Coturnix japonica: one gene and its partners. The protein of the gene in region 1 purifies or fractionates together with the protein of each later gene. This does not show direct contact. Links are inferred from orthologs where the notes say so. Each region holds a gene or a part of one and is shown in the gene's direction. Other genes may lie near its edges. The genes, in order: cadherin-1, PLEKHA7 and SKP2.

What was found.
Region 2: the proteins of cadherin-1 (region 1) and PLEKHA7 purify together in Homo sapiens (co-immunoprecipitation; 3 studies listed by BioGRID and IntAct, with this or other methods). This does not show direct contact. The link is inferred for Coturnix japonica from reciprocal best matches to the Homo sapiens genes CDH1 and PLEKHA7.
Region 3: the proteins of cadherin-1 (region 1) and SKP2 purify together in Homo sapiens (affinity purification with western blotting; 3 studies listed by BioGRID and IntAct, with this or other methods). This does not show direct contact. The link is inferred for Coturnix japonica from reciprocal best matches to the Homo sapiens genes CDH1 and SKP2.

The regions. Positions count from the first base shown.
Region 1 is NC_029526.1:16,823,020-16,832,880, forward strand, and holds the start of cadherin-1, read left to right. Parts: upstream 1-3,658; 5' UTR 3,659-3,729; coding exon 3,730-3,798; intron 3,799-3,873; coding exon 3,874-3,988; intron 3,989-7,494; coding exon 7,495-7,724; intron 7,725-7,834; coding exon 7,835-7,969; intron 7,970-8,055; coding exon 8,056-8,211; intron 8,212-8,279; coding exon 8,280-8,424; intron 8,425-8,537; coding exon 8,538-8,713; intron 8,714-8,826; coding exon 8,827-8,955; intron 8,956-9,044; coding exon 9,045-9,562; intron 9,563-9,638; coding exon 9,639-9,781; intron 9,782-9,861.
Region 2 is NC_029520.1:15,653,746-15,663,506, reverse strand, and holds part of PLEKHA7 (pleckstrin homology domain-containing family A member 7), read left to right. Parts: intron 1-960; coding exon 961-1,069; intron 1,070-2,112; coding exon 2,113-2,351; intron 2,352-3,031; coding exon 3,032-3,220; intron 3,221-3,463; coding exon 3,464-3,581; intron 3,582-4,417; coding exon 4,418-4,497; intron 4,498-4,903; coding exon 4,904-5,104; intron 5,105-8,195; coding exon 8,196-8,354; intron 8,355-9,761. UniProt on the Homo sapiens protein: Required for zonula adherens biogenesis and maintenance. Acts via its interaction with CAMSAP3, which anchors microtubules at their minus-ends to zonula adherens, leading to the recruitment of KIFC3 kinesin to the junctional site.
Region 3 is NC_029547.1:10,063,333-10,073,193, forward strand, and holds the start of SKP2 (S-phase kinase-associated protein 2), read left to right. Parts: upstream 1-4,481; 5' UTR 4,482-4,508; coding exon 4,509-4,624; intron 4,625-5,032; coding exon 5,033-5,286; intron 5,287-6,064; coding exon 6,065-6,176; intron 6,177-6,425; coding exon 6,426-6,569; intron 6,570-7,135; coding exon 7,136-7,270; intron 7,271-8,354; coding exon 8,355-8,453; intron 8,454-9,861. UniProt on the Homo sapiens protein: Substrate recognition component of a SCF (SKP1-CUL1-F-box protein) E3 ubiquitin-protein ligase complex which mediates the ubiquitination and subsequent proteasomal degradation of target proteins involved in cell cycle progression, signal transduction and transcription.

The DNA.
Region 1 (9,861 bases):
CCTGAAGGCGCGCTGCCAGGTGGGGCTGTGCTGCATGGGGGGCTCTGCCTCCTGCAGGATGTGTCCTTCTTGGGGGTGCGTGTTCCGTACCCAACCCTCTCACACAGACCCCCCCCCCCATTGCCCCCCAGGCACTTCGGTGATGCAGGTGAATGCCACGGATGCTGATGATGATGTGGAGACCTACAATGGTGTCATCGCCTACTCCATCCTCAGCCAGGAGCCGCGGGAGCCCCATCCCCACATGTTCACCGTCAACCGCGCCACCGGCACCCTCAGCGTCATCGCCAGCGGCCTCGACCGGGAGGTGGGACCCTGCCCGCAGGGCGACCCTGGCAGTGCGGCTGTGGGTGCTGATGTCTGTCTGTCCATTGCAGCGCGTGCGGGAGTACACGCTGACCATGCAGGCGGCCGACCTGGACGGGCAGGGGCTGACCACGACGGCGCTGGCTGTGATTGAGATCACAGATGTCAATGACAACGCCCCGGAGTTTGACCCCAAAACGGTACCGTGGCCGGGATGGGGGCAGGTTATGCCAGGTGCTGTGGGCTTCGTGCTGACCTTTCCTAATCCACAGTATGAGGCGGCTGTGCCAGAGAATGAAGCTGAGCTGGAGGTGGCCCGGTTGGTCACCACGGACCAGGATGAGCCACAGACACCAGCATGGCGTGCCGTGTACTCCATTGTGCGGGGCAACGAGGGCGGTGCCTTCGCCATCACCACTGACCCTGCCAGCAACGAGGGTGTCCTGCGCACGGCCAAGGTGAGCATCCCCTGCTTGTCCCTGTAGCACAGCCACCAGCCCTGGGCAGTGCTACCCATCCTGTTCCCTCCCACAGGGTCTGGACTACGAGGCCAAGCGGCAGTTTGTGCTCCATGTGGCTGTGGTCAATGAAGCCCCCTTTGCCATCAAGCTGCCCACAGCCACAGCCACAGTGACGGTCAATGTGGAGGATGTGAATGAGGCTCCTGCCTTCGACCCACCGCTGCGGCTGGCCCAAGTGCCAGAGGATGTGCCGCTGGGGCAGCCCCTTGCCTCCTATACAGCACAGGACCCTGACAGAGCCCAGCAGCAGCGCATCAAGTGAGCAGGGCTGGGTTGGGGTCACAGAGGGATCCCTATTGCCATGCCCCGCAGGACCAACCTACTGTGCCCACAGGTATGTGATGGGCAGTGACCCCGCGGGCTGGCTGGCCGTGCACCCTGAGAACGGCCTCATCACAGCACGGGAACAGCTGGACCGTGAGTCCCCGTTCACCAAGAACAGCACCTACATGGCCGTGCTGCTGGCTGTGGATGACGGTGAGTGTGGCGGCTGTGAAAAGGGCCCTTGTTCCCACATTCCCATCAGGCTGCAGTCCCACGTGAGGGACATGTGCTGCTGGTGTCACGGGGGCTGCGTCCCGCTCAGCCCCAGGGCAGGGAGTGGTGCCTGCGTTGCCCACAACGCCTTCTGCCAGCATGGGAGTCCTGCTGCCGAGGGTCCCTTACCAGCCCCACTCCTCCCTGCAGGATTGCCACCCGCCACAGGCACTGGCACGCTGCTCCTCACCCTGCTGGATGTCAATGACCACGGCCCTGAGCCCGAGCCCCGCGACATCGTCATCTGTAACCGCAGCCCTGTGCCCCAGGTGCTGACCATCACCGACCGGGACCTGCCTCCCAACACCGGGCCCTTCCGTGCAGAGCTGAGCCACGGCTCTGGGGACAGCTGGGCGGTGGAGGTTGGCAGTGGAGGTAACGTGGGGACTCGAGGTGGTGCTGCACTTGGTCCCACGTGAGCCAACATGGTGAAGTCAGGCTTGTCACCTACCCCGCACAGGTGACACCGTTGCCTTGTGGCTGACGGAGCCCCTGGAGCAGAACCTGTACAATGTCTACCTGCGGCTCTTCGACCGCCAGGGCAAGGACCAGGTCACTGTCATCAGAGCACAAGTGTGTGACTGCCAGGGCAGGGTGGAGAGCTGTGCTCAGAAGCCACGGGTGGATACCGGTGTGCCCATCGTGCTCGCCGTGCTGGGCGCTGTGCTGGCCCTGCTGCGTGAGTGCCCAACAGCTCGGAGTGTGGGGGTGCTGCAGGGATGTGGCGTGGGGATGAACCACTGATGCAGCTCCTCTCCTGCAGTTGTGCTGCTGCTGCTGCTTCTCCTGGTGAGGAGGAGGAAGGTGGTGAAGGAGCCGCTGTTGCTGCCTGAGGATGACACGAGGGACAACATCTTCTACTATGGGGAGGAAGGTGGGGGTGAGGAGGACCAGGTGAGGCCCAGGCCTGGGGATGGGGGGTAAAGCAGTGCTCCCTGTGTGTCAGCCTCATCCTGCTCCATCCCCACGCAGGACTCACGAACCTGATGCCAGCTGCACCGCGGCCTGGACGCCCGCCCTGAGGTGATCCGCAATGACGTGGCCCCCACCGCTGATGGCCGCCCCCCAGTACCGCCCCGGCCGGCCAACCCCGATGAGATCGGAAACTTCATCGATGAGGTGAGCCCGACCGTTCTGCCGCCGCACTGCTGGGCTGCCCACAGCGTCCCCATCCCATAGGGCTGAGCGCGGGGGGAGCAGCGGGTGAGCCCTTCCTCTGCCCTCCTACAGAACCTGAAGGCGGCTGACACGGACCCACGGCCCCCCCCTACGACTCCGCTGCTGGTGTTCGACTACGAGGCGGAGGTCGGAGCCACCTCGCTAGCTCCCTCAATCTCCTCCGCCTCCGACCAGGACCAGGACTACGACTACCTCAACGAGTGGGGCAACCGCTTCAAGAAGCTGGCGGAGCTCCTATGGCGGTGGGGAGACGATGACTAGCCCCCAACCAGCGCTGCTGCTGCCCAAAGCCTTACCCTGCCCGTGCCTTGGGGCCGCGCTGCCCTCTCCTGCACTCCCTGTGCTGTTTGAAGCAGCCTTGGCTTCCTCCTGTGTGTTTCAACTTTTTTTTTTTAAGCAACTATGAATTTGATGTAGTGGGGTGGTATCAGGGTGGTACCGTTGTGGTACCGGGGTGGTATCAGGGTGGTACTGTTGTGGTACCAGGATGGTACCAGCGGGCTGAGCTGGGGCTGTAGAAGTTTTAGGGAAGTTTTAATAAAGGATGTGGTTTTCCTTTTTCCTTTTTTAAGACCCTTCTCTGTCTCGCTGTGATTCTGTGCACCCCAAGGGCTCAGAGCAGACCCCCCTCACCCGGGGCTGGCTCAGCCCCATCCCCTGTGTGCAGCGATGGGGAGTGCAGGGAGCAGCGCTGCCCATCCCCAGGGCTCTGCCCGCTTGGCGCTCAGCAATAAGTGCATTAAACAACTTAACTGCGTTAACCACGCCGGCTGAGCACGGCGCCTAAGGGGGAAATGGAGCGCTGCTGCTGCCGTGCCACGGCCAGGGCTCGGCTTCTGTCCCAGCTCGGTACGAGCAGCCCCAGTGTCTGTGTGCAGACTCTGCCCCGCTGCAGCCGCGGGGGCGGCGGTAGCACTGAGTGTCGCTGCTCACCCCGGCCCCAGCGCAGCGCCGCAGTTCGCAGAAGGGACCGACCCCGCCGCCCCCTCGTCCCCCCGTGGGCCTCGCGCCCGTGGACGGCGCCGTGGGACGGGGCGGGCGGGACGGGGCGGCCCCGGTGAGGCGGAGCGGGGCGGGGAGGGGCCCGGCGGGGCCAACACCTGCGGGCGGGGCGCTCCCACCTGCGCTTGGCGGAGGCAGCGCTCGGCAGCTCCGTCCGCGGCGGTACCGGCCCGGTCCCTGAGCCATGGGCCGGCGGTGGGGTTCCCCCGGCCCGCAGCGCTTCCCCGTGTTGGTGCTGCTGCTGCTGCTCCAGGTGCGGGGCTGCCGGGCGGGACGGAGGGGACGGAACGGGACGGAAGGGGTCGGGGCTGACACCTCTCTCGGGCAGGTGTGCGGCCGGCGGTGCGACGAGGCAGCCCCCTGCCAGCCCGGCTTTGCTGCAGACACCTTCACCTTCAGCGTGCCCCGGGACAGCGTGGCGGCGGGCAGGGAGCTGGGACGAGGTAGGAGCACGGGGGTGGCTGGGGGGACAGAGCTGTGGTCGTGGGGGTGGGTTGGGTGTGCGCCACCAGAGGTGATGAGAGACACGGGAACAGGCTCAGCGTGGTACCGAAGGTGGCTGGTACCAAGGACGAAGGTGTTCCTGTTGGGACGGGTTCAGTGCGTGGCAAAGTGGCATAGAAATATGGTTGGATGGGGGGCTGGGTGCGTGGCACCGAGGGTGGCCATGGGGAACAAAGCCATGGCTAAGTGCCCGTGTGCCCTGCGTGCTGTCAGGGCCGGCTGCACTATGTCCAGTTCAGTGCTGGTGGCCATGGGCACACGGAGCCGTGCCTACGTGTCCCAGCTCCACGAGCAGCCCGGTGGTGCAGGTGCCGGGGCAAACAGGGGCAGTGGGCGCCTCTCCCAGCAGCACCGAGGCGGGCGGCGCTGACTCAGGCAGAGCTTGTTGGGGCCGGCAGGCTGGGTGTGGGGCATGGAGCCCGGCCCTGAGCCTGTGCTGAGCCCACATCCCAGCACCCAGCACACATCAGCACCCAGCTCACAACAGCACCAAGCCCACATCCAAGTGCCGAGCGCCCGTCCTGGTGCAGAGCCGTGCGTGGGTGCGGGTGGTGGTTCTTAGGAAGGGTGGCTCAGGAGTTCCAGTCTGAGTTTCGCCCACGCTGGGGAGTATCGGGGCTGGGAGCTGAACCCTGCACTGTACCAACGCATTCCATGTTTGTGAACTTTCTGTTAATCATTTACCCGGGCTGTGCAGCGCCAGCAGGCTGTGCCCATTGGGGCAGTGACTGACATCAGGGTGACGGGCAGCTGTGTGCCAGGCAGCACTAACCCAGCACACAGCGATGGCTCCCAGCTGGAAATCCCCGCTGCCGAGCACCAGCACTTCCCGTCTGGGGCTGGGGACAGGGGGGGTGTGTGGGAGTTGGGCGTCCTGTCTGGGTCTGCCCGCGCGTGCCAGCGCTGCTGCCACAAAGCCTGACCACAGAGCATCCTGCCGTGCCCTCCGTGCCGTGCAGCCTTTCAAAAGCCCCATCTGTGGCTCAGCACGAGCAGCGTGATGAGCTTCCCTGTAATTACCCGATGAGCCGAGCGCTGTGTTTGCAGTCAGACAGGTCTGGATTGGCCCCGCACAGCGCTCGGGTGGTGAACATCAGTGGGAGCTCCAGGGGCTGGTGGGTGCAGCTCTGGGCTCCCCAACGGCGCTGCAGCTGCCTGCCTGATGAAAGGGCTTGGTGGAGGAAGGAGCAATTTCCTCCATGTTAATGCGGGCTGTAAAAGCTGCACGGCACGATGCTTTCTGCTGGGTGCTGGGGCTGCTGCTGCCCCACACCCCAAGGGAAGGACAGACAGCACCTGCCCCGCATCCCTGGGGCTCAGCTCAGCCTCACTTACTGAGCAAAGGGTCCTAAGGGAGGGGATGGGATGGTGGATCCCAGGCAGGAGCTCTGAGGGAGCCCTCGGCTGTGTGGGTATGGCACCTTATGGGAGGAACACGGGTGTGCAGCCAGGTGTGACGCTTCCCAGTTGCGTAGGTCCCGGATCAGCCCCAAATGGGAGAAAACCGAGAGTCTGAAGTCACGGTGAAACTCGGTGATGTCAGGCCCTGGCAGGACGTGTGGCTCACTGCGCTCTTGCAGCACTTTCACCCTGGCTGCTCATGGCTGACGTGTGCCTCTCCCCGCCACCAGCTTCCGCCCCGGCACAGCCGCACTTGCACAACCTGCGTGGGGATGGGGAAGAACATTGGGATGGTGGCACTTGGCTGCGCCTGTGACTCACCCTGTGCCCAGCCCCAGTGAGACACTTTCCTGTGTCGCAGCAGAATGGGGGTAGCTTGGTGTCCCCAGGTCCCAGCCCAGTGTGGAGGGCTCACCTCCCCACCCCAGCTTTGAGCCGGTAATTCGCTGGTTTGGGCCCCACGGCCAAACGCATTTGAAGGTCCAGGAAATCAGTGGCACTCAGTTGCCTCCCGCAGTGCAGGAGCCCCTGAGCTCGACCCCTGCCCCACGCCTTGCCGAGGCCCCATTGGCTCAGTGCCCCGGGGAGAATGGAGCTGGGAGGGGCTGGCTTTCAAGTGTGGAGCTGGAAAAACAGGTTGTGCACGGCCGGGCGCAGAGGGGGAGATGGGGAGAGGGGGAGAGGGGGAGCTTAGCAGCGGTGCGGGGCCGGGTGCTGTGCACGGTGCGCTCCGCCGGCCAAGTGCCAGGAGCCGGGTACCCGCAGGGATGGGGCACCTCCCCACTGCGAGCACACGGTGCGGGAGCGCCCGGCGTGCCCCAGCACAGCCCTGCACAGCCGGTATCACCGGCTGGCCCGCCTGGGTTGGCATCGCCCCGCAGGGAGCGCGGCACGGCGGTGGGCGAGCAGCCCCCGGCCCAGCTCTGCCATTACCTCCCCCTCGATGTTGTCTCTGAATTCCTGGGCTGCCTGCAGGCTGATGTAACACGGGACGCTGGGACAGGTCCCGGCAGTGACGGCCGCCCCTGGGGAGCCCAGCTCCGTGCTTCCCAGCCCGGGCACATTGCTGGGCCATGGCGGTACCCCGCGTGCTGTACGGCCATGTGGGAGCCAAGGCTGTGCGGGTCAGGGGGACCCCGGCTGAGTGCTGCCGGCTCAAACAAAACATCCCCAGACAAAGGAGCGTTTGTTCTGGCAGCTCCAGCCATGCGGCCCAGCCTCATGTGATGCTGCTGCTCGCTGCTGAGCTGCGCGGTCCCCCCCAGGCTGTCCTCAGCCCTGGTATGCTGGTCCCTGCTGTGAGCACTGCCAGACCTGCATGGCCTGTGCTGGAGCTCACACTGTGACCCAGCAGGGTGACTCCGGGGTGTCATCTGTCCCAAAAGAACCCCAAGCAGCAGAGGGGATGGAGCTCTGTATGGATACCTGGGCAGCAGGGGTGCCCCAGCTGCTGTCTCACGCCCTTGGGTGCACCTTCCCCACTGCACAGACTCATATCCCAGTTGGCTGCTGGGGTGGCCACGTGCCAGCGGATCTGAGCCAGACACAGCCCTTGTTTTGATTTGAAAAGCAGCCGGAGCAGCAGCACAGCACCCTCAGCCCACAGCCACGGGCAGGGCAGCAGTGGTGTGCCACACGTTGTGCCATGGAGGCATGTTCTGTATGGATGCACCATGCCCACATGGCAAAGATGGAGAACACTGAGGTTGGGTATTAGGAGGAATTTCTTTGGAAGAGTGGCAGTGTGTTGGTATGGGCTGCACAGGGGGTGGTGGAGTCAGCGTCCATGGGGGAGTTCAAGGACTGTGGGGATGTGGCACCAAGGGATGCGGTTATGGGCATGGTGGGGTGGGTGGGGGATGTCTGCAGTGTTTCCCAGCCTGGATGGTTCTGTGATGGTACAGTGGATCACGCACAGGCTGCATTGCACACACTGCAGTGCACAGGGGTGCTCTGTGCCTGGGCTCTCTTGTGCATGCAGTGGTGCATGGGGATGCTCTGTGCATGGTGGGGTGACCCTGCCCACGCTTTCCCCTGCCCGCAGTGAGCTTTGCAGCCTGCAGCGGGCGGCCGTGGGCCGTGTATGTCCCGTCTGACACGCGCTTCAAGGTGAACATGGAAGGCGTCGTCTCAACAAAACGGCCACTGACGCTCCATGGGAGGGAGATCAGCTTCATCATCTACGCACGGGATGCCACGGGCAAGAGGCACTCAGCACGGGTGACTGTGGGCAGGCACAGGCACCGCCGCCACTACCACCACCAACACCTGCAGGTGAAGTCCCCATGGTCATTGCAGCCCAACTGTTTCGGGCCAAGAGCAGCAGGTGCCTCTGGGCTGCTCTGTGCTGCCACAGGCACCAGGATGAGCTGCTGTTCCTGCAGGACATGACACCGTCTGTGCTGACCTTCCCCGAGCATGACTCCGGCTTCCTCCGGAGGCAGAAGAGGGACTGGGTCATCCCCCCCATCAGCTGCCTGGAGAACCACCGGGGCCCCTACCCCATGAGGCTGGTGCAGGTACGGGGCCGAGGGCTGAGCGTGGTGTCACTGGGACGGGCACCAGCCCCTGGGTGTCCCCTCTCAGCACCCTGCCTCGCCGCCAGATCAAATCCAACAAGGACAAGGAGTCCAAGGTGTACTACAGCATCACGGGGCAGGGCGCGGACAGCCCGCCCGTGGGCATCTTCATCATCGAGCGTGAGACGGGGTGGCTGGAGGTGACGGAGCAGCTGGACCGGGAGAAGATCGATCGCTACACCGTGAGTGGGGGCCGTGGGGCGGGCGGGGCCGTGCGGGGCCGTGGGGCTGACGGTGCCCCCCCCTGCAGCTCTTCTCCCACGCCGTGTCAGCCAGCGGGCAGCCCGTGGAGGACCCCATGGAGATCATCATCACGGTGATGGACCAGAACGACAACAAGCCCGTGTTCGTCAAGGAGGTCTTTGTTGGCTACATCGAGGAGAACGCCAAGCCAGGTGTGGGGGCTGGCGGGCGGGCGGGGGGCCGGGAGCCCCGGGATGGAGCGGTGCCGGGGGCGGCGGTGCCGCGTCCCACCAGTGACGTCTGCCCGGCTCTTGGCTCTGCCCAGGCACCTCCGTGATGACCGTGAACGCCACGGATGCGGACGATGCGGTGAACACGGACAACGGCATCGTCAGCTACTCCATCGTCAGCCAGCAGCCGCCCAGCCCGCACCCCCAGATGTTCACCATCGACCCAGCCAAGGGCGTCATCAGCGTGCTGGGCACAGGGCTGGACCGGGAGGTGGGTGCTCTGCTTTGCGCCCCACGGTGGGTACAGACCCGCACACAGAGGGGCGCTCTGTGGGGTGCTCTGTGGGAACGCGGGGCCTCTGATGCTGTGACCTCATCTTGCAGACCACTCCCAACTACACGCTGATTGTCCAGGCCACCGACCAGGAGGGCAAGGGTCTGTCCAACACCGCCACGGCCATCATTGAGGTCACGGATGCCAACGACAACATTCCCGTCTTCAACCCCACCATGGTACGTGCTCCCCCACCCTGGCTGGCTCTCCCCAGCTGCTGCCCTCCCCAGGCTGCCCATGTGTGACCATCCCTGTGCCCTCTGTGCAGTACGAGGGGGTGGTGGAAGAGAACAAGCCGGGTATGGAGGTGGCCAGGCTGACGGTGACGGACCAAGACGCACCAGGCTCCCCAGCCTGGCAAGCCGTTTACCACATCAAGAGTGGGGACCAGGATGGTGCCTTCAGCATTACCACCGACCCCAGGACCAACAATGGCATCCTGAGGACAGCCAAGGTGGGTCACGTCCCTGCCAGTGGCCCCAGAGTGGGTCATGTCCCCATCGGCCCCACTACCACCTCAACCCTTCACCCCACCCTGCAGGGCCTGGATTATGAGACCAAGAGCCGCTATGACCTGGTGGTGACGGTGGAGAACAAAGTGCCCCTGTCTGTGCCCATCACACTCTCCTCCGCCAGCGTCCTGGTGACTGTCTTGGACGTGAATGAGCCCCCTGTCTTCATGCCCCCTGTCAAGAGGGTGGAGGTACCAGAGGACCTACCAGTGGGGCACGAGGTTACATCCTACACGGCCAAAGACCCCGACAGGGACATGAGACAGAAAATCACGTGAGTGGGGGCTTGGCTGGCAGAGAGAGAGCATGGGGTGGGCGTTGAGCTCCCCCTGACCGCTCCCTCTGCCCAGGTACCGCATGGGCAGCGACCCAGCAGGCTGGCTGGCCATTGACGCCCAGAACGGCATCGTCACGGCCACCCAACCGCTGGACCGTGAGTCGGTGCACGCCATCAACAGTACATACAAGGCCATCATCCTGGCTGTGGACAATGGTGAGGCTGTGCCCCCGCTGCAGGCAGATGGAAGCTCTGGGGATGTGGTCTCTTTGCCTCGCTAACGTCTGGCTTTGTAG
Region 2 (9,761 bases), on another chromosome or scaffold:
ATTAATTTTTTTCTTAGTGCCTGTTGTTTTTTATTTTGTTTTATTTATTTATTTTTTAAGGAAGAGTTATTAGGCATCAATTCCTTAGGAAAAATATCAAATTACAGTAAATTAACAAGATTACTTATAATCTGGGGTCTGGGGGGGGGGGGGAGGAAAGGAAAGGAAACAACAAAAATCCACATGCCTTGAATAGCTGTTTACATCTGTGGTTTTTGATGATTGCAATAAACATGTATCTGAAGTGATGGCTTCAGTAGCTACAGCCTCTAGCCACAAGATACACGAAGGCAGAGTCCAGACATTAGAGAAAGCTTCCCATTGTTGCCTGTTGGGAAGAATTAGTAGAACAAACAGGACACAAGTTGAAACCAAAGAATGCATCATATCCAGTAGCCCTAACCACCCAAGCATAGAAAGAATTAAGTTTGTCATCCCTTCTCACTTAGTTTTGGTTGTATATTTAATTCATTGCATGTTCTTAGGCGATTGTATAGCGTTATTCGTGGACACTCATATATTTTTTCTTCTAATATTGGGCATTTCCTCTAAATCTGTGAAGAGGAGTTTTGTAATGCTACCTTAGCATCCTAAAGTGCGCTAAAGGATTTGAGAAACTAGTTCAATTTAAAAGGCACTATAAACTCACTATATATAGAACCAGGATTTTGTAGCCTGAATAATATTGTAGAGAACAGTATAGAGATGTCTCATTCTATATGTCATCTTTAGGAAATCTTCTGAGACTCAGGGAAAGCTCTAAATTCTATGGGTCTGTGTGCAAGATACGTTGATCTGTGGGTAATGTGGTTTTCGCTTGTTTTAAATTTTAAAGTAGTTGTGTAACCAATTTCTATGCCTGTAAGTTCTGAAATGTTACTTTGGTTTTGGTAACAAAAGGATAAATGCATCGTAAATTTAAAAGTTTTTTGTTGTTGTTGTTGTTTTTTTAACTATCAGGAGAAAACACAAATACAGAAGGACTTGTGGAGAATTGAAGATGTTACGGCTGGCTTGAGTGCAAATAAAGCAAATTACAAAACCATAGTAGACTCCATCAAGAATCCAGGTAAAGAGAACATAATTAAAATGTAAAAATATTTCAAATACAGTTGAATTTTTGAGTCTATGTGGATACTCTAGAGGTATGTTCAGAGCAGACAGCATAGTTAATTCTGATAATGTCTGCACTGGAAATCTGCAGTTTGAACACATTGTTTTGGTGTTTCTTTGGCTGAGCCAGCAAAAAAGTGTGTGTTTTTCTGTTTGACATACTGAAGCATAACAAGCCATAAGAAAAAGAGAGCAATAGCAGTGGGATAAGTTATGCAGGTCAAAGAAACAGTTTCACACGTACACCAGAGTCATACCAAAGTAGTATCTGTTCTGTATGGTATCTGGGAGCTCCTCTCTGTACTCATCTGCTTTTTTTTTTTGCCTCTTGGATGCTGCCTGACTGCCCTTGCTCCAGTTGCTTGGTGGGTAGAGCAGCAGCATCAGCCATGGAATAGAAGAAGGAAAAGAATGTGTGGTCTGCATTTTGATTGCTTTATGATGTTTCGAATGAAAGAGGAGAATTCTGGGAAAGCAAGAGGCTGTTAATGCCTCTTGTAAATTCATCTTGTATTTTGAGTCTATTTTTGCTTACCTTTTTACGCTCAGAGATTAAATTGTTCTTGGTGAGATTATGTTTTATTTAAGGTGTGGCTATTGGTTCTTAGTCATGTCTAGCTCTGTAGCCATCTGATGGATTCTGAGGTATGGAGCCATATCCAACCATTGTAACGATTGCGTATGATGTGTGGACTTCTCCTTTTCTCCTGTTGCCTCTCAACAAGGGTTTTCATTGAATGATGTTAATGTATATTTTTATTTTTAGCCTTGAAGGCTTATTTGATCCTCATTAAGGGAATGTTTCCCACCCCTGCCTAATCTAGCAGTCATAGATTTTTATATTAAAACAAACAAACAAACTCAATTTGTGTTGAAAATAATGTGCAGAGTATTAGGGCTGTTTTTTAAAGCTTAGTGATACTGATTTCTATTTGTATGAACATTGTTGACAGATATAAGAAACACAGCATCTAACAAATGTGCATATTTCTCCCCTAGAAAGAAAAATAGTGCCTTCATTTTCTCAGTCTACAGTGCCTTCCTTACCAGCTTCTCTCACAACCGTGGAGAGCAAACCTTCAGTTCCACAAAGCCCTCCGTCCAGCCAGGTCAAACCTTCCCTAGAGGTGAGGCTGTACCCACAGCCTTATTTCCAGGCCAGAACACAGCAACAAGTACCACAGCTGAAAAAAATTGAGCCGCCTCTTCAGTCGCCAGTTAGGCTAATGCCAAAGGTTGTAAGTACTGTTACTGTGAGCCTTGTTCTCTGCTGTTTCTGTTTGCTTCTAGCAGAAAGCGTTCATGGTTGCTAAGTGCATGCAATGTGGAGGCACAGCAGGAGCCACCCAAGGGTTGTAATCAAACAGTGCAGCAACAAATACACAAGAGTATTTAGAATCATAGAATCACTGAGGTTGGAAAAGACCTCCAAGATCATCCAGTCCAACTGTCCACCTATCACCAATGTTGCCCACTAAACCATGTCCCTCAGTACAAAGTGTAAATGTTCCTTGAACACCTCCAAGAATGGTCACTCCACCACCTCCCTGGACATCTCGTTCCAGTGTTTGACTACTCTTGGAGAAGAATTATTTCCTAACATCCAACCTGAATATCCCCTGCTGCAACTTGAGGTCGTTTCCTCTATTCCTATGTTTGTAACCTAGAGGTTTACTCAAGTAGCTATATACTGTTTCAGAACATACCAAAGCAGAAGAGCCTTCTTTGCTCTTTGGTAATGCCTTTTGGTTCATTGGTTGTTTGCTTTCTTGGGTCTTGTTTGCTTATAAGAACTCAAGCTTCTGGTGGACAGAGAAGAGCACGGTAAAGCAATCATAAATAATTTGTATAATGTTATGAACTTTCAGACAGTTTATTCCAGACTGTTTGCCATATACCTGTGCTTTCCTCTGACCAGGAAGATGAAGCACCACCCAGACCTCCTCTCCCTCAGTTATACAGTCCTGAAGATCAACCACCAGCTGTTCCACCACTCCCAAGAGAAGCCACCGTCATCAGACATACGTCAGTGCGAGGCCTGAAACGTCAGTCAGATGAAAGAAAGAGAGACAGAGAACTGGGACAGTATGTAAACGGAGATTATAGGGTGAGCACTCATACACCATCTGCGCTTTAAGGAACATGTGAACCAATAACAGATGATAGTGTCTGTGAAATATGTATACTGCTAGATCTTCTAATGAGAGGGGAGAGACAGAAAATGGAAGAGATCTGTATGTAATAGTAACAGCAGAGACAGACTCACTAATCCAGAAACAAAATTGCTGGGATTTGTTTTAAGACTTGCTGTCATGATGTCATTTCAACCAGTAAATATCTTTCCACACAGGTAGAACTGCGTTCATATGTGAGTGAACCAGAACTAGCAATGATAGGTGGTGACCTCAACCAACCTTCCAGTGGTTTTGTAACCATTGATAGCGGATACCAGACATTGCCTACTCGTGGTAAGCCAGGAATTAACGTAGATGATTTTCTACAGTACTTTTGGTATAGGAGCTTCTCTCCTAGGATTTTCTGGAGATTATTTTATTCTTGACATTGTTATTTTTAAATTAACTGTACAGTGCTGTGAAGTTGTAGAGAATCTGTGATTTTAACGGTGCTGTTATGGATAACCACCCTTTGGCAAAGGAGCTTCATATGTAATTCTTAAAAGCAAAGAAACAGAAACCATAGCAAAACAATGCAATTAGCTGTTCAAATATCTCCTGTATTCGGAGTTGCCTTTCCTTATTTTTGTGTTGTGTTTATAAACTCGAGTTAATTTTTTTATAAAATACATGTATTGCCTGTGGGAGTCAATGAAATGTTAAAGAATAAAAACTTAATGCCTCCAAACACTACAAGTGACTTGTCAGTAGGACCTCAGTGCTAAAGTCATTTCACCATGAGGTGAGGTTAGAGAGGATATTTGGGGAAAAGTAGTCAGTTTGGTTTTTGAATCCCTGTAGCTCCTAAACACTGTTAAGGTTTGATTTTCTTCATAGATGTGACTATTTGTAAAGCATATCTGTTGTTGCGCAGCTGAATTCACCTCATGCTTCATTTAATATATGTTTAAAACATAGTAGATTTTTCTGTGTTTTGATCAGTAGTGACCTGAAATGGATCAGCTGTGGCTGAAATGAAATTTCCTGCTCCTCATGGCATTCTGAGCTAAAGAAAAAAGTGTGAAATGTGAACTAAAATAATGAGAATATCGTCAGGAAAAAAAGTATCTGGCACATCTTTGTTTTGTCTGTCCCTTTGGTTTTAAAGCATTTTCTTTTTCCTTATAAAGGCTTATCTGGATCAACTTCCAGATTGCACCAGTCATCTACCATTTCATCATATGCAACTCTTCGAAGGGATAGGTCCAAGGTAAGTTTTAAAAGGACATCTGAAGACTACTGACTACTGTCTTGATCTTCCAAATTGTTCTTAAATCCAGAGCACATATTGTACAGCAGGAGATGGAATTCTAGTCCCATGGGAGAGGTCCCATCTCCAATGATCTAATACTATTTATTTTCTAATTCTCTTGAATGAGTCAGGAAGTAGAAAGATGACTTACTATGTTTCTAATAGATTTATAAAAACAAAATTTGGAATCAAAATCATCTGTATTAATAGATATTATAATGTTGAAATATTCAAATTAATACAAAGCAATAGAGCAAAATCATCTTTGTTAGAAATAAGGTGGGAGAAAGATGCTGTTTATTTGTATGCTCCTTATAAACTATTAATTCCAGCACATTTTCTGTGTGCCTTGTAACTTCTTCAGGAGAGACCAAAGAGTGCCTTGGAACGTTTATACTCTGGAGACCACCAAAGAGGCAAGATGAGTGCAGAGGAACAACTAGAAAGAATGAAACGGCATCAGAAGGCATTAGTTCGTGAACGCAAGAGAACCCTTAGCCAAGGAGAAAGGCAGTCTGTTTCATCTCGGTCTTTCATCAGGCCCATTTCTGCAGACATAGGCTCAGTATGTTAGATATGCCTTAAAGGGACTAAACTAGAAATGTCTTTGGATTTTTTTTTTTTTCTTAGCAAGCACTTTCACTTGAGCGTGTGTGATGCTTCTAGTATAATTAAATCAGTGTTATACAGTATAAAATGAGTTCAGAGAGTGCAAGTAACAGATGGTCATTTTTTACTAGTAGTTACAGTGTATGTAGCAGATTCGGCAGGTAAGTTGGTCAGAGGTCCGTGTGCTGAGTGGAGGTGAGGCTCTGTTAGAGTGAATTCAGAGATGTGATTGTTTTTTATTAGCACTGTATTTAGAAAGTGTAAGAAACTTCTAGGATTTTCAAACTGCTTCATAATGGAATGGGCCTTTTAGAATGTTCTTACTCACCATGGTTATTTTTCTTTTAAATTCACAAATAAGGCTGCAAGATAGTTGTGATGATATCAGGCCAAGCAGGTTGTGTGGTTGGTTTTTCTTGTTTGTTTTTAAGGAAAAATGAATAATAAGTTTTGAAACCTAATCCACGCTTAGTAGAATTTTAGAATCAAATTGGTTTCGGTTGCAGCAAGTCCTCCTTTAAAGCTCAACATGTAGAATATTCTAATAAGGCTCAAATTTAAGCTGCTGAAGAAAAAGAATTTTTGTTGTGTTTTGAGATTAAATGCTGTACAGAATGTAAGTTTGTAATGATATGTTTTGGATACTAACCAAAGCAATTCTAATTGGTGAAGCTACCCAGTTGCTCACTTGGTGCTAAACCAAGATTGTACTGTAATTGCACTTACGCTGTAGCCTTTTAATTTATTTTTCATTTGGTCCACTAGAGCTTTAGAACAGTCACCTTGTTTTACCTAATTCATTGCACAAGATCTCTTGCTTTTAGATTTGTCACTCATCATACCTAATGCCTCTTTTTGTTTGTTCGTTTTGTTTTGTTTTTAATTTGCAGAATTTTGTAGTTATTTTAAAATTTCTAACTGGACTACTCAATTTTTACCAGGCTTAATTGCATTTAGTACATGTGTGTCAATTGCTGGCATTTAAACCACCCCTTATAATATTCAGCCTTTCATTCCCACTGCTCAGTAACGCTGTTTTACAGCCAGTTCTTTATATTTACTTTCCCAGTAAATATGAGTGCACAACTCTAGAGACACCCATCTATTTTGTCTTCTGTTTTGCAATCACAAAGTTATTCAAGGCAGTACGTCATACTTGGGAAGTATGGAACTATAGCAGAACCTTTATTTTCATATCTTAATTAGAAGAACTAAATCTGAGATTCTAATGTTTCCCAAGTCTAACGTAACATACGCAAGTTGAATTTAAACATTTTTGTGACACTCCTTATTAACACTTGTGACAAGTACTTCATCTATAAATTGGGTGCCATCTTGGTCTTTTTCTTGCTGTAAAGAATTGAGTCTTTCAGCCCTAGCAGTGTTTTGCAGAGATCATATCTTGTACCTACAGGGCTTCAAAACGCAAGAAGCATGTTCAATAGCACAATTACTTACAGCATTGCAATTATTTAGCAGCCAAAATGGCAAACAGTTAAATGTATAATTGAAATGCTGCTCAGTATGTAACATTTGCTTAAAACATGCATTGTATGTGTAACTCGACTTTTTAATCAGTCAGCTCGCAAGTGTAGAATGGCATTTGAAGTATGGATCACAGTACATCAGCGCATTTGTTATATACAATGCCTTTTTAATGTAAAAGTTGCAACATCAAAGCCAATAAAAATTTTGCTTTGTAATAATGGTTTGATGTTTTTCTTACCTACATAACACAATTTGAAAATGATACTGTGTATTTGAAATGGACTATGTCAATCAGGCCTGGTTCGAATATGAGTAGAATAAGAAGTCTTGAGAGGGAGAATGATAAAAACATTTTTTTCTCCTTTTGAAATCTTAAAAAAAAAAATAAAAATCTTAATTTTTGAGATGAAATTGACCTTTCAGGTACATTAACTTTCCAAATATACATAGAGGACACGTATCTTTTGAGTGAATATCGAGAGCTTGTGCATGAATAGGTTTCAAGTGGATTTAATAATGCAAGTAGCATCATGGAGGCGAAGGGCTTCATGTAGATTTCAGACTTCAACCAAAACAAGCCAGAGATATGTAATAGAAATATTAAACATTTGTATTGAATGTAATGGCATGTTCTCCTACTGATAGCCTTAAATACTTCAAGAGATCGTTCTACTGTTTTATCCCTTTTCTCCCCTGCTGCTTTTAATCCATTTTAAGTCTGTATGGTAAAGTCACTGAGATCTGCTGGGTGGAATGATGCTGCAACAGAGCTTAATTTTTTTGTCTCTTATGAACAAATGTACTGTTAGGTTTCTTAAGCTTGAGTTTATATGGAGCTGTATTGTGAGTAGCTGTGAAGGAGCTGCTAAGCAATAATCTGGGAGCTCTTAAAGTTATGCTGTTTAACTATGCTCTTACTGTATTCTTGCTGAATATTTATCTTGTAAGGAGGATGTATAAAATTCTTAATTTTTGCAGGTAGCTAAGGTTAATGGAGTGTAAAGTAGCCTAAAAGTTATTACATTTATTGTGTTTGAATTTCAGACAAGTCAATGCTAGTACTAAAAATACCAGCATTAATCGCTAAGTCTTTTTCTAGGCATGTAGAGCTAACAAGCAGCAATTCTCAGCCTGCAGTATCAATGTCCTTTCTGTTTAGTAATTCACAGTGTTGCAGCACTGCCTGGTCAGAATACCTAGAGCAAGGCCAGCACTGCAGGCTTGCTTGTACTGACACCTGTACTTCCATAGATGTTTGTGCTGGTACCACGTTCATCAGCATATGAGATTAATACTTGTGATATACTTTAATACAGTTGCACACTGTGTATAAAATTAAACAGTACTCTGAAATCCATGCAGCATAGCTAGAAATGAAATCTCCCAGACAAGAGTTGCAAGAAATACAGCAGCATTTTCTTTTTTTCTATCAGTTGTAAGAGTTTGCGCTGTGGATTCTCTCAGCAAAATAGCTTTTGCAGACACAGTTATGTACACTGCTGAATGTTGAATTTGCCAGTACAGTTGAATGCTATTAATTGTTTTGTATCTATTGCCAGTGGAAACGAGAGCAAGAATTTGATTTGCAGCTACTTGAGAGGGCAATTCGTGGAGAAGACAAGGATGAAAATGAATGGTTAAAAGTTCAGCCGGTAGCAGTAGCGGTGACAGAGACAGACCTGGAGCCCCAAGACTATGATTTAGACATCAGCAGAGAGGTAACACTCATATATTTGCTTCCTACTGCATTCCCCCTGATGTTAACCTTAAGTTTTATGTAGTTAATTTTCATCTTTTATTTCAAATGTGAGCTGGAAGTTCAAACTGAAAGGAGTCTTCTGGGTATTGAAAAGGAGGCATATTTCTGGCCTGGCTCTTGGGGTGTCTGTAGGGTTTGTGTTCATATGATGCTCTAGTGGAGAGAAAAAATGGGATGGTTAGCTCTGCCTTGTGAAATATATAGGCTTTATAGGGAAAAGTGGTTGTTAGGCAATGTTTATGAGAATTACGCAAAAAAAGACGACAACATAAAGAGCATTTAAAATAAGAAACTGCTAAGAAGTAAAAGTTATTTCCACAGAGCTGCCTTACTCTTCATGTTGATATGGCAGAAAACGTTCTGCTGGCTATTCATGTGACTTGTTCCCGGGGCAAGATTTGTTTCCAGCTCTGCTGAGTTCAGTATTTGTCTGAAATGCAATTGAGCCATCTAGTGGAAAGGGAGGAACATAGCAAGTGTAAGACAGGTAATGTGCTGTGTATAACGGCACGGTGGAGGGGAAGTCTATGAAATTGTTAACGGTAGGAAGACTTCTAGACTAGGAAGCACTTTGACTAAACGGGCCATCCCTGTTTGATAGCTTTATTTATCATCTGGATGAGGGGGATGGAGCTCACCCTTGGTATGTTTGCAGACAACACCAAACTGGGGGGAAATGTTGATCTACCTTAGGGTAGGAAGGCCCTGCCGAGGGATCTGGACAGACTGATCACTGGGCTGAGGACAATTTTATGAGCTTCAGCAAGTCCCAGTGCTGGGTCCTTCACTTTGGTCACAACAACCCCATGCATCACTACAGGCTTGGGGCAGAGTGGCTGGAAAGCTACGCAGAGGGTAACAGTCTGTGTGTGTTTGATGACAATTGGCTAAATATGCGCCAGCAGATGTTTCCTTGAGACCTCCAGAGCTTTTTGAATCACTTGTTATATCCAAACTAGCTCCTTCAGCCTGGGACAAGAAACATTTGTGCATATAGACATTTCTGACATTAGACATACCTCAGAGTGACTGAAGCAGGTGTGAAGGTCTGGGTTTAAAGCTTCTTTCTCCAGTTACTCAGGTTGTCTTTCCATTTCATTTATCCATCCTCTTCGCCTGGCCAGTTCTGTACCTTGTAAGGCTATACTTATTATAGCTGATAAATCCTCTGTTTGCATGATAATGGTTGTTTTTGAAGAGGCAGGATGAGCTGTTCAAGTAGCTGTACAATAAATATATAAATCGCTCTGTGGGGGAGTTGAATTTGAAGGTAAGGAAATGTGACAAGAAATCGTTTTTCAGAAAGCGTTGGCCTAGGGGATTTTTTTTGAAAAGGACCATAAAAACCTGAGGTTGTGATTTTAGT
Region 3 (9,861 bases), on another chromosome or scaffold:
TACTCAAGAGTTAATAGAGCATAAAAACACAGCAAAGCTATTTGCAATGCAGCTCTTCTAAAATTTCATATGAGGCAATGTGTTTGCTAATTCACCTTCCTACTTTTCTTCTGCTCTTCTCCAGAAGAACACAGGTCTCCATTCATTATTAGACTTGCTATATTTTCTTTTCCTCTGGGATGACTTACTGTTACAGTCAAGACTGCTAAAAATCTTTGAAAGCTCGTCCTCGCACAGGCATGCTATTAAGCAAAAGACCAGTGAGCTGCACAAATCTGTTAGAGAAAATGTCACCACCTTGTTACATGGTTACTAAAATTGCTTCTGATCCTTAACACTTCATACAGTAAAATAAACAAAATGTTTACCCTGCTTAACTTGATTTTCCATCAAAATGTTCTTCCCCATTTTGTTCCTTCTGCATTTAATTTCCAGATAGTGAAAGCAGCCTATTTACTTCATGACATCTGTTATACAGAGCACCCCATATTCTGAAAGTAGGCTGAATTGCCTTCTTGTATATTATGAAAGCTGTACACATTCATTTCCTATGTTCTGTCCACTTTTTTTAATAAGTTTACCAAATAATTGGTAATTTTATCAAGTCAAAACATCCCCCTACTATTTGCCTGTACTGCATTTAGGACGGCTAATTTATAATCCACAAATTCAATATATCTAATCTACTTCTTGATAGCTCATTCTATGTATTCTATTGTACTATTCTCATTTCCTCAGAAAATGAAGTCTTTTACATTATAGCATAAGAGCAAATTCCACTAAAACAGAGCATTTCTTCCCCACTCAAAACCAGTTTAATTAAGGCAGAGCTGTCTGACAAATGCAGCTTTGGATGCCCATCATAGCCACACCTCATGCTATGCATTAAAATTATACATCATACGCTCCATGAGTCATACCTATAGAACTTTTTACTACAGTCACACCTAAGGAGCTGCAATCAATACATAACATGAAAATTTTGTGTGTGAGATGACGCACTCAGTTCTTACCCAGAGATTTCAAAAATGTTATGAGCCTGTACTGAACACACTAAAATCAAGAGGGAATTTATAGTTTATAGCCTACAACAGAACAGAACCTGCACAGCTTCAATTCACTTTCAAAGATTTGGTTCAAAAACTATAAGACAGAAAATAGTAAAAAGTAGTTCTAGGGAAAAAATAAAATAAAATTTAAAAAGTCCTGCAAAGAGAGAAACACGTTTCTTGAGTGGAGCTCTTGCTGTGAACAAAATCTTCTTAGGAGGACAGCCATACCTGGGACCCTTGCTAATAGAATCAGGACTTAGAATATATTACTGTTTGCCTGTGGGAAACAGAATTTACCTCTGAAGCTGGCTGTTAGTTTACAGAAAGATGCTTGCCCACAATCATGTTTCTCAACTACTAGCACTCCCCTGAACCAGCTGGCTAAAATTCCTGAACCCTGGAGAATTTTCTCCCGAGATCAGCAAACTACTTCAGAAGAGCTCTTTCTGCTCTCACCTTTCTGTTAAGCAATTACAGAATCACAGAATCACAGAATCACAGAATTGTAGGGGTTGGAAGGGACCTCTAGAGATCATGGAGTCCAACCCCCCTGCCAAAGCAGGCTCCCTACACCATGTCACACAGGAAGGCGTCCAGGTGGGTCTTAAATATCTCCAGAGAAGGAGACTCCACCACCTCCCTGGGCAGCCTGTTCCAGTGCTCCGTCACCCTCACTGTAAAGAAGTTCTTGCGCACATTTGTGCGGAACTTCCTATTTTTCCTCTAATTACAAGAAGTAACAAACTTATCACTGAGAGGAAGAGTATCTATTGACACACTCCATCACTGTAGGATAAAGCACCCTCAACTTGTTGCAATTTAGATGGAAATCTGTTTTGTTTTAGACATGGACTAGAACCACGTGTTTTGAATCCTATGAATGGAAGAACCTGGGTATCCCCATACAGGACAGGAGTTTCAAAACTGCTACAGGAAATCTTTGAAGGTCCAAACACAGCTAAGGACTTAGCAAGAACACTAAAAGGGGCAGTTCACACTTTAATTACCTCAGAGACTGCCTACCACCATGTCTTAAATTACCTTGGCAGCCTGGAGACTGAAGAAGCCCAGGGGTACTTACATTACAAATGAACTAACTGCTCACTCAGCCTGGCACAGAAATTACGTGTTACTAGATGAAACAGCACAAAAACAACCCAGTCGTTTCTTGAAGATTCTAAACAGCACTCAATTTTATAACAGAGGTAATCCAAGGCAGGGCTAATAATAGCAGTGCACATCTGTGAAGAAAGGCCCAGCAAAGAAGTTAATGAAGCGTGAAAGAGATGCTGTAAAGAACAACATCGAAGATAGCTGAAGCATACTGGAAAAAGCATCTGTGAAACAGCACCTCCCACCTCAAGCTGATTCCACAGCTCTGGAGCACAGCTAAGAAAGCAGCCACCTCCAGCACACTATCAGTGCTGAGTTCCATGGTGAGCTCTTGCCCTTATGGCAGCCATCTCCCAGCCGTCAACAAGGGTGTTCCAGCATATTTGGCAAAAGAAAAAGTGTCTGCCATAACACCTGTGACAGGGCTCTGATGCCTGCCCTACTCTGCTAAACTGTCTGGTAAGAATCCCAAAGACATGCCTAAATCCTCTGCACCAATATAAGTGCTTAACCCTAAGCTTTAGAAACTTTCATCTTTAAAAAATAAAGTGGAATATCTCATGTTTTATAAACACTAAAAGGAAGATAAGGTAACACCACGCTGAAAAACAACCCCTTCAGACACTTTCATACTCAGCTCTGCTCAGTCTGTTGTTTGTCTTTTTATTTTGTTTCCTCCCAGCTTCCATAGTACACACTGACCCTTGCACCACAGGGATCAGATAAGCAGATGACAGATGAAGAGCTTCTTAGCACTGACAAAACTACCAACAGAAAGAAACAGGCCTTCAGCTGTCCATGAAGCTGACCAGCGCAGTTACCCTACTGCACCACCCGGAAGAAATAATCTCTGAAATGAACCAACAGGTGCAATCTGCATAGCTTTGTTCTTCCAAGAAACAGAGATCAAACCATGCACCAACTAGTATTGTATTAGCACCTGCAATTTCAATTATCTTGGAAAGTACAGAATCACAGAATATCCTGAGTTAAAGGGATCCACGAGGATCATTGAGGCCAGCCCCTAGCTACGCACACAACCACCCAAAAACCAGACCATATGTCTGAGAGCGTTGTCCAAACACTTCCTGAACTCTATCAAGCTTGATGTTGTTACTGATGCCCTGCAGAGCCTGCTCCTCTCCAGGAAGGGAGCTTACAAGCAAGAGAGGGACAAACTTTTTCCATGGTCCAATAGCGACCAGACAAGGGAGAATGGCTCTAAACTAATAGAGAAGAGATTTAGGTCAGATGTTAGGAGAAGATTCCTTGCTCAGAGGGTAGTAAGGTGATGGCACTGCTGCCCAGAGAGCTGTGGTGCCCCATCCATGGAGGTGCTCAAGACTGGACTAGATGAGGCCCTGGAAAGCCTGAGCTGGTGAAGGCAACCAGCACATGGCAGGGGGATTAGAACTGGGTTAATGCCCCTTACAACCCCTGCCTCTTTATGATTTTGTGATAATGTATGTAAACAAGATTTAAAACTAACTAAACATTTAGTCTTTGCATATGACACCCTGGAAATAGTAGCAGAGAGAACACGCAGCAGGGAGGCACTACGATGTATAATAAGAAAGCCGTGCAGCCGTAGGATGAACCCAGAACAAAACTTGTAATGTTGGCCTGCCTGGGGATGCTCACACAGAACAGGTGTCACTGAGGAGGTCTCCGTGTGGTTACAACCATAATGCTGCAGTGAGACAGACGGCCTGTTCAGAAAATCAGAACTGAAATCATAACGACGCCTTATTTATCCCTCCGGCCCCATGTGCCACGCGTCGCGGTGCTGCGGGCACGGCCCTGTGAGCACTGCGAGGAGCTGAGCGCGGGGCCGGATTCCACACAGCGCCGACACAGCCCGGCCGCGGAGCCCGGAGCGGAGACAGCGAAGTGCGCTCTGCAACACACAGCCCGTGTTCCTCGGGAGAAAATCAGACAACCGAAATGGGCTAAAAAGCCGAACAACAAGCGTCACATCCCGCCCTTCCTCAGCCCTCGGCGCAGCCCAGACACAGGAACTGTGGCCGGGCCCAGCCCGTCCGCGCTCCCCCCGCCCGTGACTCGGCGCTGCGGCCCGCGCCGCCCCTCACCGCGCTCAGCAGCCGCCGTCCCGCGGGGCTGGGCCGCCCTCCATGCTCGCTGCCACCTCTCCCCAAACGAGGCCTCAAACCGCCACACACACAGCACCGCCCGACTCGCTCCTCGCCGCGGGGCCCGGCACCGCCGACATTTCCCGTCACCGCCGCCGCTGTCACCGCCCCCGGCCGGGAGGCGGGCACAGGATGCGGGGAGCGAACTACAACTCCCGGCAGCGCCCGCACAGCGGCTTCCGGCCGGCTGGGGATGCGCGGGACGGTGCGAGGCTGGCGGGCGGGCGCGCGGGCTGCAGGGCGCTGCGAGGAGCGGGGCTGTGCCGCTCAGCGGGGCTGTGCCGCTCTGCCGTCCGCAGCCATGCTCAGGTACGGTGGAGCAGCACCCGCGGGGAGGGATGAATACGAACCGGGAGGAGGGATGGGGGTGTGTGCGTGTGGCTTGGCGGGGTATGGGGGCAGATGGGCTGTGGGGCGTGTGGCTCTGTGAGGAGCGCGGTCCGGCTCGCTGAGGCGCGCTGCTTCTCCACACGCTGCCCGCGCGCTGCTGGCGCCCAACGGCCGCGTGAGGCGAGATGTGAGCTGAGGGATCGCCCCGCTCTAATGGGGTTAAAGTTAAGCTTTTCTTAGTGGGTATTGTTGCATTAGGTGGGGATATGTGTTGTTAGCGAGACCTGCTCTCTGCTACGGGGCTCTCTGTACTTCGCGGCGGCTTCCAGAGAACGTGGCGGTGGTCTCGCAGAGCTCTGGTTCACCCGAGTCTTGCAATCCCTGCAGGAAACATCTCCAGGAGATCCCCTCCTCCGACAGCAACGTCTCCACTGGCTTCAGCTGGGACTGGGGTTCCAGCAAGGCCTCGGAGTTGCTGTCAGGCATGGGGGTGTCGGTGCTGAAGAAGGACAGGCTGGGCAATGAGAACACCCCGCAGGAGCCTCTGCTGCCGGCCTGCACACCCCACAAGCGGCTGAAGGTGAAGGAGAAGGAGTTTGTCATCGTGCGCAGACCTCGTCTGCTCCGAGAGGCAGAGCCAGGTACTGGTAGGCAGCCCTGCCTTCATTTACCCTGCTGAATTAACAGAAGTTATTGCTGTACCCATCCCCAATATAATTTTGAAACTCAGGGACTTGAATTTTGTATATAGAAATCTTAAAACTGAGAAACTGAGCCCTCCAGACTATGAGAATCCAGATGTGCATCTTTCACTTCAGGGTGCCAAGGAGCAGCCCCTCCACTCCATTGGGGTTGGACTGTAATGGGTGCAAGGGTCCCTACTGGAAAGAGGCTCTGGGCTGGCAGGGGAAGGATTCAGTCCTCAGAGCAGTGATGAATGAGCTCTGGGTCACAGGCAGCTGTTGGAAGCTCCAACATGTACAGTTTTTTCCTGGGCAGACAGAAGCACTTGCACTGTATCTGCATGTGAGAATTTGGGGTTACGCACAGTAAACTTAAACAGATTCTGAGAGATGTTTTGAAGAGCACTTAGGGCCCTTCTTGGGGTGTAAGGTATGTTGCAAGGATGGGCATTTCAGCAGGGATGTATAGAGACAAGAAGTCCTGAGATGTCTGTCTAGAAAAGTCTTTCCCTTCCTGCACTTGGGGAAACATACAAGCCTTCGAATACAAATGAAATAGATGAAATGCTCTCATTTCCTGAAGTATATTTCTTAAAATGAAGAGGTGAAAGAGAGATGAGTAGTATGTAGAGTCCAGGGACATACTGTAGTGGTCCTTCTGGCAACCAAACTGAATAAGGCATCAGCAGGCAAAAATGAGCCAGATTTAACTAGAGCGTGTTCACTCTCCCTAAAGGTGTTTCTTGGGATGAACTTCCAGATGAACTTCTATTGGCAATCTTTGCATATCTGCCCTTGAATGACTTGCTGAAAGTTTCCATGGTTTGTAAGAGGTGGCATCGTCTGTCGTAAGTATTACTTCTCGTCACTTAATGCTAAGAAGAACTTTGCTTCCATAGGTTGATAAATGATTTGGTTTCCATCTAACGTGGTCAAGTGTTATTCAGTCTATTATATATTATAACTCAATTATTTTATCATTATGAAATTGTCCTGGGTGGTTTTTCTTCCTCAGTCTTTTTGGAGTCTGGAAAGTTTCTGTAGTTGTACACATAGGTGTGACTTTTCCTTGCTAATGAGCAAATTCTGCTCCCTAGGTTTGATGAATCTCTCTGGCAGACTCTTGATCTGAATTGCAGAAGTCTGCTGCCAGGAGTTATTGGACAGTTGCTACCTGCAGGAGTTACTGTGTTCCGCTGCCCAAGATCTTGTATTGGGAATCCACTGTTTAAAACCATGAAGTAAGGCTTTCGCTGTGTACTGAGTCATGGAACTGTCTCAAATCTTCAGTGTTTCTCTGTTTTTTTCTTTTTTTTTTTTTTAACATCTTCACCAGTATTAGCGTTTGTCATCTCTGTGGAGTGTGGAATAGCTGATCAGTGGTTAGGCATATATTGAAGTAAGAGCTGTATTCATCAGTCAGTTATTAAGAAATAAGCTAACATGGTATTTGGAAGTATACTTCCAGCACCATTGTGCTCTTGCAAGTTATTTCTTATAGAACCAAGAAATGTGAGCCTTGTCAGCATTTTTACATGTGAACCTCAAAAGTCAGTCTAGCTCCAGCAGGGTAGATTTGGAGATGTTGTGAATACCAGAAAGATAAAAGTTCTAGAGTTTTGGCTAGTGGGTTATTAGTACAGCCAGCAAGGTTAACAGTCTACACAGTGTGCAGCTGAAATTCACAAATACAACTGCTCTCTATAAGCTTTGCACACTTGCTCAGTATTGCTTGGATTTATGGTGTGTGGAATTTGTAGTTGCTTTTTTGGTGCGGTTTTATTAACCATGCTTTCCCATCTCTTAGGCCTCTCAGAGTTCAACACATGGATTTGTCAAATTGCACAGTAGCTGTTGCAGATCTCCAGAGCATTCTTTGTCGTTGTGAGAGACTGGAGAACCTAAGCTTGGAGGGACTAGTGCTTTCTGATGATATCATGAAGTGAGTGAAATGTTTGGGGATGCTCTGTAAATAACTTACATTCAGTGCCATTCTTTTGTGCAGGCTAGGGACAGAATACAGTTGTTGCCCCCTGTGGGAGTTGTTTGAAATGGCCAGCTCTAGCCATTTAAAGGATTTAGCCGGCAGGTTGTACAAGCTGCCTTTTTCTCACCTGTCCAAGAGACCAAGTGGGAAAGAAACACTGCTCTGGAACAGTTGTTTGTTGTTTATTTTTGTTTTTCTGAAATTTCTCAGGGTTCTTGGAAGCTTGATAAACTGCTTATCTCTGTGGCAGTTGTGTCCTTTTACTGTTCCTGCTTGTGAGCTGCAGAGCAGAACTACTTTTATTTAGTGATTTCTATGCTCCCAGGGCACGTTCACGTTTAGTGTACATATTCTTTTGTATTTTAAGGAGTTCCAGCAACTCTTCTTCCTGATGCTCTGTGTGCTTCTGTACTGTTTCTCATTTCTTTGTTGACCTTCACTGAAAAAAGTATCTGAAAAATTAGACTCCATCTAATTGAGTCATATGATCATTTGAGTTGGAAGGGGCCTTTAGAGGTCATCTGGTCCAACTGCTCTGCAGTGAGCAGGGACATCTACAGCTACAACAGTGTGCTCAGAGCCCCATTCTGCCTGACCTTGAATGTCTGGAAGGATGGGGCATCCACTGCCTCTCTGGGCAACCTGTTCCAATGCTTCACTAGTAAGTGCTATAGGGAGATCGCTTAGTCTTTTGTAGAGGTAAAATGATTTTGAATAGGCCATGGTGTTTGTTCATTGAAATGTAACAGGAGAAGTTGAAGAGGAATTATTTCCTGTCTAGTTTGGCTTAGAAATACAAAAGCATGTCTGGACCAGCGCTTAAACAGACAAGTGTTCTTCATCAAGTTGTGCTGTGATGCAGCAGGAAGTTGAGATCCTTAGTGACTCTTTTAGTAGGTCAATTTACTAGAGATACAGTGTTGAACATGCAACAAACCTGTGCACAACATCTTCACTTTTAAACATTATCGTGTATCTTAGCAATAAAAGCGAAGTTCCAAGATTTTATCAGACTTCTCTTTTTTTTTCTCTTCTACAGGAGCATTGCTAAGAATCCCGGTCTGATACGACTGAATCTTTGTGGGTGCTCAGGATTTTCTGCAGAAGCCTTGGAGCTGATGTTAAGCAAATGTACTATGTAAGACAAAAATAGTGTTTGCTATTCCTACTTACTCTTAACTTCTGAGAGGAATTGTCCTTTTTGTTTTTTTTATAAGCATTCCAACTGTATTTGTCTGTCACTGTGTTTCTTATGTGGCTTACTATGTTCTCAAATGCTTAACTGTTGGCTATTACCTGAATACTTATATAATTTCTTTCCATCAATCTATTTTCTTCTTTAATAGCAAAGAAATACTTCAGTAATTATTTGTGAGTCTCTTTAGTCATCCTTAAAGGAGGTCTTGGTTGGTTAAAAACCCATGTATATCCATTTGATTTTCTTAATGAAAGCAATATGTAATTCTCACAGTGTGAAAGCATACAAGTTTGTGGAAGATACCATCTGAGTGCGGAGTACAAGAGCTCCCCATGCAGTCAGAGAACAGTATGAATGGCAGAAAACATTGTGCCCTTCCATCCATGGTAGAACAGTTCTTCAGTATTTGATGCACCGTGTTCAGATTGATGGGTCTAGCGATTAAACCAGCTGCTCTCAAAAGTCACTGAATTGAGCTTCAGTAGATGTGGGATTTACACCCTGATCTCTTTGCTGACTTCCTGTGAGATGTTGGACAAGCTACTCAATTTGTTTCTGCAAAATACTATTTTTAATCAAACTGCAGTAGCCCAGTGGACAGACAAAACCTTAATCTTGCTCTGGGTAGTTAATACTTACTGCTGCTGGATCTGATTACTTGGATGCTGAGCTTCTTAAAGAAAGGCAGTATCTGTATAATGCACAGTGCGTAAAGATCAGGTCTGCCATCTGCTTTAAAAAGCAGTATTTTCAAATTTACATAACGAGCTAAAGGCTCTGGTCAGGCTGTTTACTGTGCCTTTGTCCTCAGGTTACATCTCTTGTAGCTGCACACAAAACAGTACTATGACTGGTAATATGCTACTGAGTGTGTAGTTGAGGTAAGGTCACAACCTGGCCAGTGCATATATAAAACTATAAAGTATTTTATGATAACAGTGTAATTGGTCACCTGACCAATGCTAATAAGTGATAGTAGGAGATCTGTGTTTCTGCCTCTCAGTGTGAAGATCTGGTCAGTGGGAACAGGTTCATATCACCAACCAAATACAAGATGAAGTGTCTCCCCTTGACCATTTAACTTCCTACAGTGATTGTGAATCATTCTGATTGAAAGTGATCTTGAGAAGTTGCTTTGACTCTTTGCCCACAGCAGGTTCTAAACGCAGTTCTGGTTAGGACTTTGTCCAGCTGAGCTTTGGAAACCTCTACAAATTTCTTGCAGCCTATCTAGGCAACTTGCTTCAGTGCTTAATTATTGTCATAGAGAAACTCGTATTAATTAATACAGAAACTTGGTAGTAGATGTACCACAGTTTGAGTTCTTATGTATATGTAATACCATTGA